Linked DNA regions of Mus musculus: region 1 is reported to be linked to region 2. The links are microRNA targets in miRTarBase. Many come from high-throughput screens and were not tested one by one. Region 2 holds a microRNA gene; the other region holds the end of a gene's coding sequence.

What was found. The annotated mature microRNA mmu-miR-3095-5p reads AAGCUUUCUCAUCUGUGACACU and lies in region 2 at 1,555-1,576, shown strand. An mRNA with a match to its seed (bases 2 to 7 or 8) in the 3' UTR can be bound and repressed. Matches are read on the target gene's strand: a 7mer-m8 pairs with bases 2 to 8, a 7mer-A1 pairs with bases 2 to 7 and ends in A, and an 8mer does both.
Region 1: the mRNA of Cdyl2 is a reported target of mmu-miR-3095-5p. Seed matches in the 3' UTR shown: 7mer-A1 at 3,005-3,011.

What each region holds. Positions count from the first base shown.
Region 1 is chr8:116,571,436-116,575,828 of GRCm38, forward strand. It overlaps Cdyl2 (chromodomain protein, Y chromosome-like 2), which reads right to left. Exons shown (of 7, transcript NM_029441.3): 7 at 1-3,852. The coding sequence ends at 3,694. Among named protein-coding and RNA genes, the nearest start is that of Gm31367, 32 kb to the right of the region's middle.
Region 2 is chr4:58,438,247-58,442,639 of GRCm38, reverse strand. It overlaps Mir3095 (microRNA 3095), which reads left to right and starts at 1,542; the gene lies at 1,542-1,628. The region is part of intron 3 of Lpar1 (lysophosphatidic acid receptor 1); the gene reads left to right.

The DNA.
Region 1 (4,393 bases), not on the chromosome of region 2:
AAACACAGAAGAGAAGCAAGCCCTCCTTCTAAACGTCCCCATAGGAAGATTGGTGGATGTCTCTATTTTTAATTTTTATTTTTTTACAAAAAAAAAAAACTTCAACAGAAATTAGATTGAAAAAGAGTGGGGATAGGACTAAATTCCAAACTAGAGAGAGAGAGAGAGAGAGAGAGAGAGAGAGAGAGAGAGAGAGAGAGAGAATTTTGTTTTTTAACAAACCTTTTAAGAGGATTTTGGAAACCAGCAGTTAGTAGTGAGGGATAGGACTCAGCGTTCAGTCAAGGCTATTTGTAAAAGAGGGATTCGGAGATTTAAATATGCCTTGCCCAGTGTCTCCTGTCATTATTTTCCCGTCCTCAGGTTGAACTTCACTCAGGGAAATCATCTTTTCCCGCTTCCGAGAGGATATTTCCCAGTTTGATTTATGCCACAGAGTAAGATTTTACGTCATTTCCCCATTTTCCCCCAGTCCCCGCCTTTCTCTGCATATGTGTTTCCCTCGGACTTTACTTCTGCCCAGTAAAGGGTCACCCAAGAACACCCACATTAGGTGGTGGCTTCCCAGTGCTGAGGTGGTCTGGCCATCTTAACCATAACTCTTCAAAAGTCGCCTGGGATCTGAGCACTTAACCCCAGCCGGGTCATATGGGAGTTGCCACCACCAAGGTTGTGGTAAACAGAGGAGAGTCTCAAATGGCTTGCTAGAGGGAACCTTGACTTAGAAGAGGAAGCCTCTACCTCTCACTCATAGCTGCCCTTCCAAGTTCAATAGGGACACATACACCAGGCCTGCAAAGACATCTAAAATTCCTCAAAAGATTTACTTGGGCCCTAGGAAAGGGTGGTAGGAAAAGGAACAAGGAGAGTAACAGGTCAAGCAAAAGGACCTCATGGGAGGAGAGAGGACAATGGGGTACAAAGTAAAAAGATGAGAGAGCCAGCACCTGACCTCAATAAAGCTTTGGGGGTAACCTGGACACAACCACTGAATTTTCCATCCCAGCTCAATCTGCTATATGTGGGTCACCTGGATTCCAACTCCACACTACCCAAACAGCCAGCCTGAAAATGCCAACTCCTGTGGTTTGGCCAGCCCAGGAGGTTGACTAAATGCCTTGTGTCCATGTGGCAGATCTACCTCCTTCCAACAGACGGAACACAGTCTTTAAAAACAAGGGGTGTAAATCCCACCTCAGAAATGGTCAGTGTCTACCTCAGTCATCACAGATCCTCAGTATGTTCGGAAGTGTGGCGCCCATCAAATGGCCAAGAGAGAAAGCATATCTGGTTGTATGCTCAGGAGTCAAAGATGACTGCTGATCACAGGGATTTCTAAACATCCCGTGCTATTTCTAGAGAGAATCCTGACAACTTGCTTCCCTATGGACAAAACTGGCTTGATCAGAAGCTAATCAGAAAGGTTTGGGGGAGGTGTTTCCTATAGAGGAGGCAGCGATCTGAAAGAGTTACTCAGACATGTAAAGAACAGGAGATGTCTTAAGGGCGTGGGGTTAAGTGTACATGGAGCTCATCCCAGCAGAGAAGGGACAAGAGGCTCAGGCTCCTTAATTCTCTACACCCCAGTCAGCCCACAGCTCCTACAGTGTTCTATAGGGACTCCAGGGGGCCACATGCTCCAATTTCTTTTTCCTGTGACCAAATACAGCCAAGGTGACTGTACTCTCAGGCTCCCCATGGCCAAGGTGGCACAGGCTGGTGGAGAATAGGGACTTAAACTCTTTTCTTCCTGAACCCTTCTGAGCTCTAAAGCATTTCTATAGAGCAAAGCAAGGTCATTCTAAGGCCCACAAAGCCATGTGCATACGCGGGAGCCATAGTCTAGAGCCAGGTCACTAATTCTCATGCAAACGTTCAACTGTCTGCATCCTTCAGAGCTTAGGGCCATGTATCCCTCCCACTTGTGACTGGGGCAGCTATTCCCATTCAAGGGCAGCCAAAGAGAACCATCTCTACTTTTGCAGCCCACCTCCCCTCCACAAGCTGTGCAGACTCTGCGCTGTGCCCGGCTGTCACCAAGGAAGGGCTGAGAAAGGCTGGGAAACTCAGAGGGAATTGAAGAGAAAGAACAGCGGTCAAGGTTGTCACCCATCTAGAACTAGCCTGGAACCCCACGCACGCCCCATGGTCTAATTTTCTCTAAGCACATGATCTCAAATAGGTGTGAGGTCCCAACCACAACGACAGGTCCCTTCCATTTCCCATCTCTTCATCAACTCACACCCAAACTCTCCCCCAGTGCAGACTTCCAACTGGATGACATAAAGTCAGCTACTGGAGGCTCCAGTAGGCTAGGGCCAGTGGGGCAAGGAGACCTACATGCTGGATAAGGCTTTGCTTGTATTCTCTCAGCTTAAAAAAGAAAAAACAAAAATTAAAGATTTATTGTTCAGGTTTGGACTGAGTTTTGTTTTTTTCCTCAACACCCCCAGAAGGCCAACCAAGACAGTAAAGTTCATATGGAAGGAAAAGTCTTGGAAATCCAAGTTCACTTATTTATCCTAGAGCAAAAAAAAAAAAAAAAAAAAAGTCTCACCCTAGGCAATATATCATCCTAAAGACGGGCTGCTCGCCATCCCTTCCTAACATCACGACTTTAGGGACGGGGCTGACACAGAGCAGAGTCCACCATTCTCCTGAATGACAGAGACTAAGAGAGAAAATGCCACCGTGACTTGTCCTTGAAGATTAGAGAACTGGCATTTTTGTCACATGAGCCGCACACAGAGGGTCTGGCACAGGCTTGTGCCTTTTTAAAATCCCTTCTCTTCTCTCTTTCCACGTGGCTCACCGCAAGAACGCACCAAACGGCGTGCACCTTGAATAGTATTTGGTCCAGGGTGGTATGAAAATAAGATCTGTGTGAACAATAGGCTTCATAATATATAAACAAAAATAAATAAATAAAATAAACCCAAATAAAGAAAAAAATTTCCTAGTAAGTCATGTTCTTCTGTTTTTTTTTCTTTTTTTTTTGCAAAACTAGCTTTACATATAATACACATAAATTATCAGAATTTCCACTTACACGTTGTTTTAAAAATATATATTTAACAAAACGTTTCTAAATGTACAATATCTGGGTTTGTAAATCACTCAGTTGGGTATTAAGACCAAGCCCTAAGAGTCACACCGAGTTGCATTGGAGAGAAGACTGAAGCCAGGCCTATGTAGTCAAGAGCTTACCGCACGCTCGTTGGTCTGTGGGTTCCCTAAGACGATCGTTCCCTGGTCCCAGATCACATAACCAGAGAACTGTGATGGCCTCATCTCCAAGTTGGAGGCACTGTGTAGACACAGACTGAGTCGGGAGGATGAGGGAGGTTGGTCTTCCCCCTTCTGGACCAAGGTAGGAGAGTTTCAGCTAGTGGGGGAAAGGTCGACAGGGCCTGGCGGAGCGCTTAGAAGATGGATCCCTGGAAGGCTCTATGGCTGGCTGGGACAGGGTGCACAGGGAGGCCAAGGGTGCTGTGTTTGCCACCTTTACACAAAATCAAACCAATGAGGAACAACCGAAGGGCACGAGGAATGGATACAACCGTAGGTGTGAAGACACACCCCGACAAACTCTTGGCTAGGGTGGACCCTGGGCTCCGATGGTAGAAACACACACAGGGCCCGGCTGGGAGTCTGAGACCCTTGAGCAAGTGGGGGCAGGTGAGCCGGGGCCCTTCAGACTTCATAGATTTTGTCCTGCAGATAGCTGAACAGGGAGTCCAGGCCCTTGGAGGAGCTCCAGAGCTGCTTCAGCATGACGCACTCCTTCTCGTTCACCTCCTCCAGCACTGACTTCAGGAAGCTTCGGACCAGGCATTTGGACTCCTCCAAAACCTGGAAAGAAACGCATGCTGGGTTAGCTCTCCCTGGGGCTGAGCACTGTCCTGAGGGGCTTCAGGTGGTCAGGGTGTTGAGCCTGTGACCATGAGATGGCTATGGGAGAGAAGCAGGGTACTCGGGGGCCTTGCCTAAGGTGACATATGATCGGTACCGTGTGTGTGTGTGTGTGTGTGTGTGTGTGTGTATGTGTATATTATATGTATATATGTGTGTATATATATGTATATATGTGTGTATATATATGTATATATATACACACATATATATATATATTCACACACACACACACACACACACACACACACACACACACACATATATATATATATATACTCCTTCCCAGCACAGGTTCTCATATATACATATATACACATACATACATACACACACACACACACACACACACACACACACACACACACATTATACATGTAGTTTCTGGAATATCAATCGCAGGTCTCCATGCTTACACAACAAGCACTTTGCCCATGGGGCTGAGTCCACACAGCCTCTTGGTGCTATTTGCCTATGGGTT
Region 2 (4,393 bases):
ATCAACCCATTAGGAAACAGCACTTCTAGAAAAAACGACTGATTCAGAGAGCAGGCAGTGAACGCCTTGCTTGGAGGGAAGGTGTGGTCACGTGACTGTGCTCTGCAGCTGGGACCTGTTGTTCCAAAGCTGCCCATTTCCTCCCTGACCCTTGCACCAGCATTCCAGGGTCTCTTACATTTGTTTTCGGGCAGCAGGCCCTCCCAGATTGCTTTGACAGACTATAAGAAAGAATCCAAGCTGGTTCAAGGACAGGCAACCCGCAGATATATTTTGAAGCCTCCTGCTTCCACCTTCTTTGTGATTGTGACAAGTTGTAGGGAACTTTCTATTCACCGAGAGGCATGGTTCCTGGGACTCAACCTTTGAGGAGCCTAGCAGGGTGCTGGACTTGCATTTTATTGATGGAAGTGGTGAGCAACAGTGGACAGCTTCTTGCTCTATGTTGCTGCCCAGATTCAGGCTCTACTTATTCTTGTTTTAGAAACTAGAGATACACATATACATGCACACACACACATGTATGCATACAAACACATATACATGCACACACATTCACACAGATATACCCAGACACATACACACAGATACAGACACACATACTCACACACATACATACATACACACTCACACACAATCACATATACTCACACACAGTCACACACACTCACTCACTCACTCACACACATATACACTCACAGACACACAGATATACTCACATACATACACTCATATACACAGACACGTACACATATTCACATATACTCACATGCACACATCACACATACATATACATACACACAGACACACACATACAGATATACAGACATTCTCACACACAAGCACTTGTATACACAGACACAATCATGAACACACAATCACACAATCACATACACACACTTATATACACACATAAACACTCAGACACACATAGATACACAGACACAATTCTCTTTATCTCCATCATTTCCATCTTTCGCTGTCACTAATCTGTATCCTAAGTGAAAACCTGACCGTTGAGGCCAGTAAGATTACAGTGGAGGTCATTATTCCTTATAAGTCTCGTTTGCATCATTGTTACATGTGATACAGGCTGAGAACCAGTTCTAGGCTGGAGAGAGAATGTCTTAGCCTGATATACCAGGTCTTCATGACCTTAGACCTCGTATCTTCTGCACTCCTGGCTTTACAATATGGAGCCGCAAACTGTATTTTCTCTCTTTCATACTGTTCCATACCACTTTTCAGGTTTGTGCCTTGGTCTGTAGAGTCTGCCATCAGAAGTAGGCCAGAGATAAACAACACCAAAGCAGCCTTGGCTCTGGAATTGTATATTATTTTTAGTTTCCATCTAGTCAAGTGTGGCACTAAGAAGCTGCAGAGCCACGGGGAGCGGTGTCACTTCCTCTCTTCCTTCCTTTTCTCGTGTTCAACTCTGAGTCCTGGGACTGTCTGGGAAGATGTGTAGCTAGTTCTGAGAATGCCAAGCCTTCATGGTTCGTATCATGCTCTCCTGCTCTTCCTCGCCGAGGATCCACCCAGAGCCCTGTGCACAAGCTTTCTCATCTGTGACACTCGAGATGGTTTCAGGGAGTGGACACTGGAGAGAGAGCTTTTGCAAGTCGCTCCTCATGCCTTGTGGGGTAGGAAGAGAGCTGTTGCTTCTCTGCTTCACAGATAATGAAATAGGGGTTTGCTCAACTCATCCACACGTCTTACAAGGACATAACCAAAACTACAGTCTGGACATAGCCTGTGATGCACCTCTGGAGGGTGACCCCACTCAGCTAGAGCTAAGTACTTATTTAAACACACACACGCACGCACACACATACACACACACACACACACACACACACACACACACACACACACACACACACACAGATGAGACTGATTCTTAGAAGCTCAGAGGGAAATTGGTGACGTGAGAAGACTTGATTTCAGACTATGCATTCTCTATGATTTAGGAGCCTGAACACCTTGGACTTTCCAGCCCCCTGCTCCTCTCTTATAATACACTGTTGTCTTTGGGTCAGTGTGATCCAGGACACCCCAAAAAGAGAAGGGAAAGGGGAGAGGAAAGGTCCACATGATCACTTTTTGTTCCTCCCCCTTCCCCCTTCCCCCTTCCCCCTTCCCCTTTTCCCCTTCCCCCTTCCACCCTCCCCCTTCCCCTCCACCCTCCCCCTTCCCCTCCCCTTCCCTTTCCTTCCCTTCCCTCCCTCTCTCCCTCTTCCTTTCCCCTCCCTTCCCCTCCACTCCTTTCCCTTCTTTCTTTTCTTTTCTTTTCTTTTCTTTTCTTTTCTTTTCTTTTCTTTTTCTTTTTCTTTTCTTTTCTTTTCTTTTCTTTTCTTTTCTTTTCTTTTCTTTTCTTCATTCATTTGTTTTCAGAGTGGGGTTTCTCTGTGTAGCCCTGGCTGTCCCAGAACTCATTCTGTAGATCAGGCTGACCTCGAACTTAGAAATCTGCCTGCCTCTGCCTCTCAAGTGCTGGGATCAAAGGTGTGTGCCACCACCACGCAGGCTAATATGATCAGTTTTTAATGTGGATTTCTGAGGCTATCACTGAGACATTTGATTGAATCATGAAGAGTCTGAGACAGTGTGGTTGGCCTAATCACAGTTATAACAACAGTTCCTTCCAGTGAAGAACGGAGAGGACTCCAATTCCTGCATGAAGTGTTCACATAGGTTAGCTTCTGTCAGGCTGGAGCATTTCCCATTTCCTGTGGCCAAATCTAATAGGGTGCTTTTTTTTTTTTTTCTGTCTAAAAGTGAAGTCCAAAGTCTCTTTTTTAAGGCCATCTCTTTCCTAAGAGGACCTTGTTCTTCTTGAATTTTTGCATTTTAAGAAATCATGAACAGCCCATGACAGTACTTAGATCCTCTTCTGATCAAAGTGAAGCAGCCTGGGAAGAAGGGTGTTTCCTCTCTGCCGCCCACAGGGAGAAGGAGGTAGTTTTATTTAATATATATCTGTCTGTGCTTGTAGCCAGCCAAGCTCTGAATTTGAGCTCAATGAGAGCTTTGATAAAGGGAAGGGGAAAAGGAACATTTAGGATTGTTTTTCCATTCATGACGAGTGTGTGTGTGTGTGTGTGTGTGTGTGTGTGTGTGTGTGTGATAAGTAGATGAATAATGAGACTGTGCACTTTCCCATCCAAGCCTTTTCCATCCTGAGAATGATTTCTTTCCTGGCTTCTCGATGAATAAGGCATTATTTCTGAAACCCAGGAGGCATTCTTTTGATTTCCCTTCATGTTTAACTTTCTGAGTGATTTTCAATAAAGGAAATTCAAGGGCTTGGAATGAAGGCTCTCTTAGCATTTTTATTGAGGGTCAGATAGAGCCGTGGCTATTATCTGCTGATATTTGGAATATTGTTTTCCCTCTCTGAGGAGTGTCTAAGGTATTGTATTTATAAGAAAAACGAAGCACCTTGGATGGCCTTCAAAGTGAACAGCAGTCTAAAACCAATACACATAGGTGGTACAGAACAAAGAGCTTTATACGGTATTTTTCTTCTTGCTCTATTTGTATTTCCCCGCTGAAAGGGTGCAAAAGGAGATGGGGGAGGCTCTCACATTCAAAGCTGGGCTGTTTGGAGACTAAATCACATTTGTTTTCTTTTTATGAACTCATTCCTTGAGATTGGTTCAAGCTGAAGACGCCACTGAAACCTGAACCACTGTGTGCATCTGAAGATTCAAATGCGTGTGGGGGTTCTCCCTGCTCACCCTCTCTCTGTTCACTACGTAGCTGATTATCCAATGGGGGGGGGGTAGCTGAGGTGTAATGGCACACACTGCCCCACTGGATTGATTCCTTCTGTAGAAGACCCCCAGCGCATGCCCCGATTACACAGTCATCAAAGCTAACGAATCATTTCATGGCTTTCATGTTCCCTCAGATCCAGGTGGAATGCGATCTCAGAAACTAAATAAGAAGGGATATTTTTTCTCATCTGCATTTCCAAAGCAATCATAATTATAGAAAAATCTGAATAATTCAGAGTAGTAGTGGGTGAGAAAGCAGAGAATTGACCTAGGTTACAGGGCAGCTGAAATATAAGATTTGGTAATAAATACTTAACTTTATAATTTGCAAAAGGTGGAAGGATAATGTGGTGCTTTCAGGAATGTGGATGCCAGAGCCAGCGTCCAAGGGCATAGACTCTGTGATTTGATTCTTGTTTATCACCTCACAGGGTCCTAGTTTTTTAAGCAAGGTATTTAATCTTCCTGGGTCTCAGTTTCTCTGTCTGTACAGTGGAGTTTTAGCTTGCCTGCTACGTGTGCACATTAGGTGAGTTATCCTTTATAAAATGTACACAAGGACTGTGATTGTTGGATCAAAAACTAAAGCGTTCATTATTGGCAGTTGCCTATTC